Drosophila melanogaster: one gene and its partner. Changing the gene in region 2 together with the main gene of any one other region gives a genetic interaction. Each region holds a gene or a part of one and is shown on either strand. Other genes may lie near its edges.

Region 1 (6,885 bases), on a different chromosome or scaffold from region 2:
ATCGATACACCAACGTGCTCGTGAGTTGTGCGCGGATGTGTTTGTTGTGTTCACGGGAAATTTGCTTCCACTGGAATTTAAAGCTTGTCTGCACTAGATCTTCTAAAAGGAAGAAAGTTCGTATGTGGTTTAAATCTCCATTCTCTGCCCTTGTCTTCTTGTGTTTTGATCATCCATTTTTTGATATACTGAAATGGCAAAATGTCGGTTAGGAAACTCAATCCCGAAAATCCCAAAGTGATTTGAATGATTAGCTTAAGCGTTGTGAGTTTATATTGAAAATATGTAATAAAACCTTTTACATTTAGCTAAAAAAGGCTACATTTTTATCAATATATTTGATGCATAAAATTCATTAAAAATACAAGCAAGTGTACGCAATTCATAAAATTAATCAACAATCTACATGAAGGCTTACCCCTCGTTAACTACGTTATCTACAAAGCAAATGGCAGAAGTATCTCAATATAAGATATTTACTTTACGGATCCACCAGAACTGGATTTTAGTTGGAGGCCGTGATGGCCACCGGTGTCGGTGAGGGTTGTGCCACGACTGGGCTTATGGTTACGGCAGGTGGAGCGCTATTGTTGAGCTCAGACACGCCTGAGGAGGATATTTCAGCAGCAACCTTGAGTCCATTGGGGGTTGCACCCAAGCTTTGACGCGAGTTGCGCTTACGGTGCATACGCGGCTTGTTTGGCGAGGGAGTCTTGGTAGTAGAGTCGGGCAACGAGGAAACGCTGCGCGACTTGTCACCTCCTGCTCCAAACTCGGTGCTAGCCGATGGGGAGCTGGATGGCCTAGCGTCCTTCACCGATTGGCGGCCGCCGCGTCGATTGCGACGACGATAATTGTTATTATTGTTGCTGTTACCCTTGACAACCGGCTTCACCGTGGTCTTCTTGGGATCGAAATAGCTGTCCAGAAGCTCGAGCAGCTCCGCCTTGTCCTTGCTCTTTAGCCGGCCAATTGACTGCAGGGCTATGTCCAGGCCCTCGATGTTTTTCTCTGCCCAGATGGCACTTAGCGTGTTCAAATCGAACCCATTCTCGGCCAGCACAATGCGGAACTTTACGGCACGCACACGATGGTACAGAGTGGTCTTGAAGTAGTTCAGGAACACCGGACGGAAGGAGTTTTGACGCTCCAAATTTTCGATCTGGATATCCAGCTCCAGGACATCGGACACCACCAACTTGGCAAACGGACGTATGGCATTAAACATATTCTCCAATGCCTCCGAGCTTTTTGGTTCCGGCTTGCCGTCGGAGTTGCTCAGCTGAAGGGCCACATCAAAGGCCAATTTGGCACGAACACTGGCATTGCCATCAAACAGTTCCCGCTTACCCTGAACGGCGTTCTTGCTAGATTGCTTATCGTCACCATTGGTCACGGTACTGTCCCTGGGGGATATCGATACCGAATCGGACACCATACTAGATCCAGATCCCAAGCCAGATCCAGATCCAGATGTGGACGCAGAGCAAGCCGCGTCTTCCTCCTTGGTCGTGGACAAGATCTTGGAAAGCTTTCGCAGACTGTAGTTCTTTATGTTGGCATCGCCAATGGAAGCCTTGGCCAGATTGATGCTGTTTGCAAACGACTTCACCGACGCGGTGAAGCGCTCCAACAGGCCGTACTTCTTCAACGACTCCAGGATCATGTAGGGAATGAACTTGCGCTCTTCATGATAGATAAGCACAATCCCGTCCGAGCTGGGACCCGCCTTGGTCTTCAGTTGCTCAAGCCAGTTGAGGAAGTCCTTGAGGGCAGCGATCTCAGACTTGGATTTAATGATCTGAGAGGATATTGTATGTTGAATTGTGGATGCTTCAATACTTGACTGCCACTATTAAATGGACTGGACTGCACTGGACTCACCTTATAAGTCTGCATCGACTTCAGCATACGATAAAAGCCAATCGAAATAACACGAACTTGATGACGCTGGCGAGCAGCTGGATTCAGATTCATATATGGCATGATGTACTGCTCGAAGTGGTCGGTGGGTGTATAAGCGGCCAGCTGGACAATCTGTGGGTTTATCGCAAGTGGGGTTAGGACCGAACGACGAACGATCTAACGGCAGTCAGGGGGTATTACCTCATCCATTAGACGACGTCCAGTGGTGTCGATATCCACGCCCACCAGGATATAATTACCGGCCGGCAGCTCAACTTTATCGCCCACGGGCGACGAGGATTGATCGGCGACGGCAATGGCCACTCCGGCATCGATGTTATCGGCAACCATTTTCTTATATGATCTGCGAAAAGCAATCTAGAAAATTCGGATAACGAAATTAGCTGAGTCACTAGAATTTTTTTTTTTTAAGGAACCGATTTCCTTTGCAAAACGCGAACCGCTTTCACTAGATTTTCGATATGAAGTGACGGGCTACGAATTTTCAAGAGTCTATTAAACCCAAAGCTACAACTAACGGTTTTCTTCCAGTGGCGCCATCTTTTACACAGATGTTTTTATGTGTATGTATGTATGTTCACTTTCACCACACTTTAGCACTTTTCTTTTGGGCTCACCTTTATTGAACTCCTTTTTCGTGTTGGTTTCGATGGGCTCTTTCGCTTTTTACGAACTTTTTCCTTTATTTTTCAAAAGGTTAAAGCGAAATTTGCTTCTGTTCGACGAGCTTTCACAAATAAGAAACAATTCGTACGACTAACTAAAACGTAATGAATAATTTCCTGATGCACCCGACGGCCTAGGAAAAGTGCGCGAATTTGACATATGCAAAGCCTGCTAATCGAGGTTTTTGACTTAAGTACGATGGGTTAGACAGCTGCAACTCGTCCACATCTTGCCACAACGCCCACTGTGCAGGTGAAAACTTTTTGCAGAATATTTTTACCGCTGCTATAATAAAATATAGTCTTTCAGCTTGTAAATAAATTTTTTTCCAATTATTAGCCGGCAAAATTGGTGGGTAAACAACAAATATTTGGACAAAAGCGCAGACAAGAACTGATAAGAGGATCAGGGATGACGAATTTCAAATGGTTGCGCCAGAGATGACAGGGTATCGATATCACTATCGATAGACTTATCGAAGACGGCTTAGCACTTATACCTACTCTGCAGCCCTGGTCGGCAGAAAAACAATAATCAGCTGATGCCATCGCTTATTTCCAACAATTTGCACCGCAAAAGTGAAGAATTACCAAGCAAATAGATCGCCTGCCGACCGAATTATGCTGCTGTAATCACCCAAGCACACAACGGTAAAGATAAAACCAGGCGAGATAACACCACGCACAGGTGCCACAACATGCTGTCCTACATAAAGCGCAAGCTCTCCGAATCCGACAGCGGCGTCAGTTCGGTCGCAACTGTGACGTCGTCGTGCGGCGGCGATAGTGGGAGAGCGGGCGGAACGGGCAGCAGTGAAAGCGGTACGGGCAGCAGCAGCGCCAGTATCAGCGGACGCAGCCAGAACGCCGACGAGTTAGTGCGCAAAACGAGCCAGATGTCGATGGATGATGAGGCCATTGCCTTCGGGGAGGACGCACTGCTCCATGAACTGGGCTACAAGAATCAGACGGAACTGCAGGAAACCATCTACGGTTCGATATTTAATGGCATTCTTTTTCACTTTGGCCTAGTTATGTAATTTCTCTTGTCGTTACACAGATCTGTTGCGCGGCATTCGCGATCCCGAGAAGCCGTGCACTTTGGAGGACCTCAACGTTGTCTACGAGGATGGAATCTTTGTGATGCCGCCCACGCGCTCCAATGTCTCAGTTGTACGTTACTCAATATCTTTATAAGCCATAAGCTTGAGCCCTAATCATCATTTCATCATAAGTTAAATCTGCGCGTGTGTTTATTTGCTTTCATCACTATTGTTGCTTAATATTTGAAAGGATTAACGATTTAGCTTCAAAATGACTTTAAAATTGATCTCATAGCTTAAAGTACTTGTATTATACTAAATCCACACCTCATAAATCTTTTGTGTAGTAAAAAGTTGAAATGCATGGTATTTGTCTCTTAATTCTTTCAGGTTCGCATCGAGTTTAACCCCACAGTGCCACATTGCTCGTTGGCCACGCTTATTGGACTCTGTATACGCGTGAAAGTAGAACGCGGACTTCCGCACAACATAAAGCTAGACATATACATCAAGAAGGGAGCGCATCAAACCGAGGAAGAGAGTAAGTTGGACCAACCAGATACTATTATCATACATATGTGTTCTAAGTAAAAATGATTACGTTTCCCCAGTTAACAAGCAAATCAATGACAAGGAGCGCATCGCTGCGGCCATGGAGAACCCCAATCTGAGGGATTTGGTCGAGAACTGCATCAAGGATGAGGAGTAGCTCTCTTTGCCATATCTTTTGTACATAGGGAATACTTTGAGGAATGTCTAGGATTAAGTGTACCATTAAGTTGCATCAGGGAGTGTGTGCTTAGCATTAAAGCCCTTAAAATCTGTTAATCGCTCGGCCGTTTTGATTCCACCAGAATATCGATTGCTCAACGTCCTATCTATTTTCCCGCCTATGCTGCTTACTGATAAGGTCCCCCGGGCCCAACAACTCTCATTGTTTACATTGTGCCGAAGCGATATGGCCGTCGGACATTCGGCCCAAGAAAACCGTGTGCACATCGGTGTCATGGCGGGTGAATGAATCTGAATCGCAATCGTATCGATGGGCCGGCCATGTTGGGCACCAGCCAGACGGCGTGTACGTCACACGGATTTATCAGCTTCAGAAGAGTAGAGAATGTTTGGGGCGTAACGCAGGGTAATCACCTGCCGTTGGCGCTGTTAAGTTGAGTGCATGACACACATTCGACTCAACTCGACTCGGCTAATTTCTTTGCAACTCTCCGGTTTCAGTGAGCACTTTGTTGCCATGACTGTCGCTGTTTCTGCTCCAATTTGCATTTCCGGGGTTTTCCATTTGTTAAATTGCACTGCACTTCCGCTCATTTCGCTCTTACTGCTCCCCCCACCAAAGTGGCAAGCCATAAATATTAAGCAATATCAATTAGTTGCTTGCCATCGCGCTCAAAATGCTTTAAACTAATTTCCAAAGACTTAGGCAAAAAACATCCCCACCAGCAATTAAAACCATCTGGCGCTGCGAACTTTTTGCCATGACACCGCTGGCCAATATTCACGGAATGGAAACCGGACCAGAGCAGACCCTTCGTGCCCCTAAGGCGTGCCGCGTGCCTCAGAAGGCGAGGGAAAAATAATAAAAATGAATGCGCAGACAAAAGCATATTGCGAATATTACGCTAATTGGCGACTGCAATCAAAGCGGACCTCGGCCTGGACACGTCGGCCGAAAGGAATAGGAGTGGCAGACACTAGCTTCTCCCAGCCTTCCAGCAGCCGTGTCGCCAGCCTGACCATGACCGAAGCCATCGGAGAAGCTTGTGCCCCCCAGCTCCACCACGCGGTTTTCAGGTGAACAGTAATTGGAGGCAGACTGGTCTGCTACTTGTTATCAATCTATATTATGTGGATATCCGTATAAAATAAACACTTTAAAACCAATATTTAAACTGATTACATTAATACATAATAGTTGATAATCATAATTCTTGGAATAGATAATGAGTAGAATCCATTTAATATGAGCTACTGGAGTGACACCTTTAATAACCACCGAAGAGCACGTGAACAGAGACTTGGGACACAGCCATAATGACTCAGTTGACACACCGGCAATGGCCCAGGAAGGAGTCATGGGAGATGATGGCCTGGACTGCGACAGAATTTTATGTGCGAAAAATGCATAATTTATTCTGTTAATGCATATGCATTTAAGCCGAGCCAACAACTGCAGCAATTCCCCAGGATTTGCTGACCGGCAATTGTCATTTGTGCAGCGGTCAAAGTGACCCATTTAATCCCGTCCTGCAGTGCCCGCCCAGTGCCACGCCCCTGCTCCCACAACCCCCGGGTTACATAACCCCCGAGTACATAAGTAGGCAAATGCAATGAGTCCGACTCCAAGTCACAGTGGCCCGAAGACGAGGGGCACAGATTGCGGCCACCGAGATTTCCTTCCGATACGCAATGCTGTTAAATTGTATGCCATTATTATGATTGCCATCGTGACGGCGGGCATCCGGGACGGAGTGCACAGGATGAGGATGCCGGAGCCACGACCGGCTGTGGAGTTGCATTCACACATTGTTCGCCCGATCCGGGTCTCTGCATATGCCATGTATTTCATTATGGGTCCCACATACGCATTTCATGCCCGCCGGCTCCTTGGATTGCAGCCACTGCAGCCTGTGCGGTTATGCCGTCTTTTCCGTTCAGATTGGAATTCACAATCGGAGTCAGAAGAAATGAATTAAAAACCGTAGTGCAGGTTTAAAGGAAGTTAAAAGTCATTTTAGCAGAATTAGGTATGATTAAAACTAGGCAAATAACACTAAAAACTCTTTTGGAAGCTCCAAACCAAAGCTTTAAAACGCATCTAATGAGTACTTTGTAGTCGATTCCCTTCGGATTGCAGTTCCTGTTTTTATTTTTCAGGTGGCTTACTGCGCGCGTTGTTACAACCAATTGTTGTAATTGTTCGGGCCATGGTAGTGTTGGCCTGTAGCTCCTTAAAACCGGAAGTAACACTCAATGGCGAAAAACCGCCCACGGGCCAACGGGGCGTATGCGCATTATGCAAAGTCCTGGTCAGCGGTGAATGCCTTGCCACAGCCAGAATCTGCCGCAAATGTCTGCTGGAGCAAGGGGGGGGGGAAAGGGAGTGGTGTCAGAGTGGGGAACTTGGCCATTCAGCAACTGACAACTTACGCATCAGCAGAAGCAGGGACAGTCATGCGGGGATGATGGCGAGATGACTCCTGCTTTCGGCCATCCGGACACCGGCTGAGCTCCGA
Region 2 (6,723 bases):
ATGGCTGCTACCTCATATATAAGCTTTAGTTTGTGTGTTTAGCACTACAACATGCTATTAATATGGTCTGAAATAAATAATAAAACCACGCATGCTGAGCCCGTTAATTGCCTTCAGAACCTTAGAGTATGTTCCCCAATTTCCCACCTCAATTACCAAACAATTTGTGTTCGATTTTGGTGCGTTGTGGCCCACGGTATCGTTGTTGGTGTGACTCAATGCTAACAATGGAATTTGTTGTTGCTGGCAGTACGCTGCGTATGCAAATAGCGACAGATAAAACGGCACTACGTGATCACCGCGATAAAGACAATCCAACGGACAGCATTGAACAACGCCCACAACTTTTAAACATTTGTTTGCATCGAATAAATTTTTGGAATTAATATCGTGTAAAAGCGAAAGCTGCCACTGTCTTTTCAGTTTAGTATAATATTTTCCCCACTATGTCATATTGTTTCTCACATTTGTGGTTTTTGTGCATCGGTAATTTCCCAAGGTGGCTGGCTAATCGATGCAGTCGCAGAAAACGTGGAACATTGCAAGGAGAAACTAGACAGAACTAAGCAGTTGTCTCGACTTAAAGTTACCTAATTACAACTTTCTATGCTTAGTCCAAAATCATACCAAGAGTCCACATCCCAATTATTTCGGCTATAACCAAAATTGGTCCTGAAATGTGCGCCCTGCATTCTCAGTATTGCATTCAATTCCACTTCCGCCACAATTCCCCACTCCCCACTAAGTACTGGGTAGTAAAGTACGCCCTAACCTTTAAAGGACTGGGGCAAATCAGTTCTTTTTCAGTTATACTCTGGCTATTTTTATAGACCTGGCTAACGACTTGCACTAATGGCCAACGTCAGGCAATGGTCGCGGCCGGCTGCGTAGGCCCACGGAACATGGCCCACGACCCGCGTCACGGCCGATTGCACTTTAACACTTGACCAGGTTGAAACACCGGACACCGGAGAGCGGAGAACGCGGGTGTGTCCAGCGTACAATTTCCATTCCATTCTCGATTTTCATTTATGTACGTGCCAGAGAATTTCCATAAACTCGCGGGGTCACGTGTTGTTATCGTTAACGCAATGCAGGTAGTTTCGGTTCATTTGTGTTTTCCCTCCACTTTTCCAGCGTGCCTAGTATACCTGTGCCGCGATTTTTCCCCTGAAAATGATGGATTATATCTGTTTAGGGCGGAAATTCAAACGAAAGCCGTACAGAAACCACTCTCGAAGTGAAGATGACGCTGATGATCTTCGCTGTCGGTGTCTGGATTTTACGATGGAAGCTGCCATAAACCAGTTGCTGTGATGCCTTTCAGGGATTTCCCAGCCCAGACATTCATTTTCTCTTCTTTTTATTCGTCGGTTTTCCTTGTCAATCATAAACCAAAGTCATTTGATAAATTCTACGATAAAAGGTATACGAAAATACAGGGCCTATAGAGAGGTTGGTTCTTTACAATTAAAAGAAAATGTGTTCATGGAAATGAATGAATTATAGCTCTTTATTAGGGCTTTTCACTCGTTTGGATTTTTTTTAATTATTAAGCTGAAAATTTGTTTACTATTAGCTTCAAGAGCTGATAAACTGGTTTACTATGTTTTCGCTGCACTCCAGGGCTTTCCCTACTTCGAGTTGGAAAACTCTTTCTCTATCTGTGCTCCCTTCTCCTGAGTGTTCTTCTTATCAACCTATCAACGGAATTGCGGTATTGCTGACGTTGAGTTGGCCGCGCTTTTGCAACTGTTGTACTTCACTTTCCGGCCAAAAGATAAGATTGCGCGTAACAACAGCCGGATGGCTGGCCGTTTGGAGGGTTGGTACTCGAATTGTAAATAAATAGACCCAATTTTTGAGGTCGTTTTTGCACAATCCGTTGGAAAAAGGGGGCAGACAATGCTAAGCCAGCCAAACAATTGAGCCGCGGACAACATGTAACAGAAAATTACACATAATGAGTCAGCAAGAGTTGTGAATCAATTATTATGATCGTTATGCGATAAGTTTCACAGATTTCACTGTTGTGATATCGCTAAAAGCGCTTTGAAAATGCAGACAAATGAGGTTTTATTACCAAAAAATCGCACCAGTATCAACAAATGCAGAAACAATAATTTGTTACGATTCCCTGTTATTTACCTAAAAATATGATATCCATTTGTAAGCTACAGTGTGTAAAAAATGCGGGTCACGTTAAAATATCTCTTCTGGTTTCAGTAATTAATTCTTCTTGGCCAAGATTGCTAACATTAACCGCCTTTGAAGCTATAATTTGATTAATTATCTCTCTCAGCGACTAAAGTTGTACTCTACTAAATATAAATTTATACGCAATCGAAGCTAATACATTTCTAAGCATTCCTTTTGTTTGCAAGATAAGACCGAGCACACAATCATCAAAAATTAGAAATGAGTGTATAATTAACACAATCAAACTTCAGGTAAGCCAGCTCCATGAGTCACTTCTTGAAGGAAAACCCGTTGAACGAGTTTTTCGTAGGCCCGAAATCATTGAAAATCCAAATTCCTTTTACCCAACATGACTTGGTCAACATCCCCAAAACACACGAATGCCCCACCACACACACACATGACCTGTTGCTCTTTTTTTTCGATTACGAGCTTTTGAAACATCAGCAAATGTTTAAGCTAAAGAATGCATGTGGCTCATCATATAAATTATTTACAGTGTGACTTCCGTAACTCAATCTCATTAACTCATTAATCATATGAGCAGCCAAAGGCTTAAACACAATAACAACATTACAAATTCCATTTAAAATGGGCATCTAATATACATTTTAATAATTTATAACGGGCAAGTTCAGTGCTGTGGAGTGATCACTGTAGCTTAAGAACCGCGTAAACACCGTGTTGCTCTCTCATGTCCCCATCTTCGCTCTCTCCTCCTGAATGTCCTCGACTGCCTATCGCCCTCCCTCTCACTCACTCGCTAGCTCCCTCTCAGGGTTCTCTCTCACCTGTTGCTAAGTAAATAAGTATGAAGAGCGGTATCCATTGAGGCGACGAATAAACTGAAATGGCGCGCTTGAGCAAATGCGACGTAATTTGAGCTGCGCTTTTCGTGCGGTCTCGACTTCTTGCTGTTGTTGTTGCTGTTTCTACTGATGCCGCCACTGTTGTTGTTGTGGTCGTTGCTGTTTCTGCTTGCCGCTGTTTTTGTTGTTGCGACAGTGACGCATTGGCGATTTTAGCCATGATCGCTGATTTGTTGGCTCAAGTCGAGTTTTCGTATTGGAAAGGGTTGCTTTTGGCTAGATATTATTGCTATTCAAACGATACTCATTGAGCTTGTTGTTGTTGGTAATTGCATTCTCCCTTCTCTCTGCTCCACGCAAACACTCATACGCACACACACACACGCGCGCAATCGGCACTTGGCTTAGAACAGGTTATTTTTATTTTTTTTAAGTTATATTCCTCTTTTTCTGCTAGTTGTATTATTTGCAAACTTTCGCACGCGACACTTTCTAGCCTGAATTTGAATATTGAGCACAGAGATTCCACTTTGAGCCAACTAATTTGCCATTTCTTCCCAGGCCACGATTCTGAATCACACCAACACACACACACACATACGAGCGCCGAAGACTTGGCTTAAAAGAGAGGTGCGCTGTTCTTGTTGTTGTCGCTGCCCTTTTGAACTGCAAGCAGCACACACACACGCGCGCGCACACACATTGGCCAAAACGGGGCGAAAAAAACGTTACGAGCGCGAGCAACCAATAAAACGTACGTACGAGCAGCAAGAAAAATGTTCGACCGTTTGAATCGGCGATATCCGTTTCGTGGGCTTATATATGGTGCAGTGTGACCAGTCCGCTTGGCTAGGTTTGGCTGGATTTTGATATAGAGTCAACATGCATGGCCACACTGATATTCAAGTTGCACAGTGGTACAATATGTACAAAAAAAATATTTTGTTCTTGAATTGATTTCGCACAAGAATTAAACCGTTAATTACATTTTCATAAAACTTTACTGATATAACTATTCAATATATCAATTAATATCGTGTGTATGTCTAGGTGACATTCCAAAATACACGAGCATAGTAAAGTTTAATTTATGGCGGGAACATGAAAACGTAAACTTCACTTAAATTACCAACGGCAGTTATGGGTTTTGTAAGTTGTGACCTACATCATCATAATCCAAATAGAATAAACCTTTTATAATACCGCAAATCTTAACTTGCGAAAATTCCGCACTGCACATATTTTCAAGTCGGAATGCATAAAAGTAAATTCCCCATAAATCAAGAAGCCGGCGGATAGCAACTACGTACTTAATGTAAATGTAAACGGCCACAAAGCGCCGACTTATCGTTTCAAAGAGAACTCAGCATAAACAGGCAGCACCGACAACATGTCGTCAATTTTTGGAGGTCTAGGTGGGACTATATAATGTGGGTAAGCCTGGTTAGAAATCACAGCAGTTGGGGAATTAGCAAAATGGGCAAATCGCAAAATAATACTGGTTCGCTTTTGCTACTGATTATACTGGGCATTTCTCTGGGAGATTCCATGCCCCTGGAGGATATGGACTCCCAGGAAATGATTGACTTGACAGATCTTGGAGATACTCTGTTCGGTAATCCGGACGTGGAGACGACTGGAGCTTTGGTTGAGGCACTCGGTGTGGAATCCCCGCTGAATCCCGAGGAGCTGGGAACCTACCACGAAGGTGACATCCTGATTCCACTGAGCTACAGGGACGCCCGATTCAATGGCACTCGTAATGGCATTTTGGCGCTGAGTTCCCGCTGGCCGGGCGGCGTTGTGCCCTACGAGATCAAAGGTCCTTTTACCAGCCAGGAATTGGGGAATATTAACCACGCTTTTAAGGTGAGGTTTCAGTAATAGTCCCTATTACAATTTACAAATAAGATTTTGTATCTTAGGAATACCACACCAAAACATGCGTGCGCTTCAAGCCCAGGACCACCGAAAAGGATTACATCTCCATTGGTAGCGGAAAGTCTGGCTGCTGGAGTAGCATTGGGCGCTTAGGTGGTCGCCAGGAAGTGAATCTGCAGTCGCCCAACTGCTTGCGTACATACGGCACTCCCATTCACGAGCTGATGCACGCCCTGGGCTTCTTCCATGAGCAGAATCGTCACGAACGTGACTCCTATGTGCGCGTGATGAAGGACAACATCAAGCCCGAGATGATGGTCAACTTCGAGAAGTCCAGTTCCAGGACACAGTACGGCTTCGGCGTGGAATACGACTATGGCAGTGTGATGCACTACTCCCCCACCAGTTTCACTCGGAATGGCCAGCCCACGTTGAAGGCACTGCGTGCCACATCCGATGCCAGCCAGATGGGTCAACGCAAGGGCTTCTCAGCCGGAGATGTGCGCAAGATCAACGCAATGTACAAGTGCAAGGTGTAGATGACAACTGCAGTCGAAGCATTCGGTAACAGTATTTTGACAAACATAAATATTTATCATCAACAATCAATTGTGTTTACTGAAAAAATATGTCTATGGGTACAATATTTGGTTAGATAATTAACAATCGCCTATGTGCGTCGTGTCTTGTACTGCTCCGGGAACTCTCACGCCATCCCATCCTAGTGGTACGGCAGGTTCTTATTTGTCTCAAAGAAATAGTTGCCCTGCATGTTGAGCTCCTTGCAGATCGTCGAGAATCTTCGGATGGCGTTGTACGTGCCGAGGTTACTTCCATCTTCACAGGGAAACACAAAGCATAACAGAAGATACTATATATACAGCACAGCAAGTGTCCGATTGCATGCATTGGTTGGTTGATTGGTTAGTAATCCGGATCATTCACTCCAGTCAGCGGATGGTTAGTGGGGACGCGCCTTTTGGATGGTGGCCTTACCTGGGCCCGCGAAACCGGCACCCGTCGCATTCAAATCCAGATTCATGTAGAGAGCCATGTTTCCGGTTGATCCGTGCCGAGATCGATTGTTTAAGAAGTCCCGGATATGCTGAACGATCAAATCGATGGCCACTGAAAGGAAAAGAGCGGACAATTAGTTCGCACTCAGTTTGGAAATATCAAATCGTAATGCTGCACCATCGTAAGCATTGCAACTCAATGTGGAACAATGCACTTACCTCGCTGCTCCTCCCGAGCTCCGCCGATCCAAGCGGTCTAGTCTAAGCCCAGGACTTATTCTAGCTCTAGTTAGTGGGATCTATTACCTAAACGCATCTAAGCTGGGCGGCATGTTCTGGTTATTGTTAAGCTACTGTGTTTTGTGACTGAAGTTAGTGTGCTTTACAATAAACTGGTTGTGTACTTACTAAATGAAACACCGATTTATCTTCACGCCTTGATAGGCTAATCACTGCCTTGCATTTGTATATATTTGAGACTGCATAAAGGTGTTTAAAAGGGGCGCGTTTTGATAACACTATAGTCGCAGGTTCCGACTTCAAAGATGCCCGGTACTAATGATATCTAATTTATATTAGCCCTTACTTTTTATAAGGATATAAATATTGCTTAAGAAGAATTCATAGAAACATCTAAAATGTATGTGACCAAAAGTTGTGAGTTTAAGGAATGAGATAAATATAACTCCAATATGTTTAAGTTAGCAAAGGGATTTAATAGCAAAGTAATTAACGTATTCTAGTCAGGAGTTTATACGAAATATTCAAGAAAATGTTGCTTATAAAACGTAATAAAGCTATTGCTTATAATAACATTC

The links.
Region 1: of crb (region 2) and galla-1, changing one suppresses a phenotype caused by changing the other (phenotypic suppression), as found in Drosophila melanogaster (one study listed by BioGRID).

The regions. Positions count from the first base shown.
Region 1 is NT_033778.4:20,668,095-20,674,979, forward strand, and holds galla-1 (galla-1), read left to right. Parts: upstream 1-3,109; 5' UTR 3,110-3,289; coding exon 3,290-3,584; intron 3,585-3,651; coding exon 3,652-3,764; intron 3,765-4,024; coding exon 4,025-4,175; intron 4,176-4,245; coding exon 4,246-4,343; 3' UTR 4,344-5,401; downstream 5,402-6,885. Other genes in the region: exu (exuperantia), read right to left, coding at 506-1,801, 1,885-2,037, 2,107-2,256. UniProt on the Drosophila melanogaster protein: Component of the crb-galla-Xpd (CGX) complex which is essential for proper mitotic chromosome segregation in early embryos. The CGX complex is also required for cell proliferation in developing wing disks.
Region 2 is NT_033777.3:24,292,132-24,298,854, reverse strand, and holds the start of crb (crumbs), read right to left. Parts: upstream 3,778-6,723; 5' UTR 3,229-3,777; coding exon 2,991-3,228; intron 1-2,990. Other genes in the region: CG5715 (uncharacterized protein), read left to right, coding at 4,485-4,877, 4,934-5,428; Uck (Uridine-cytidine kinase), read right to left, coding at 5,611-5,726, 5,886-6,017.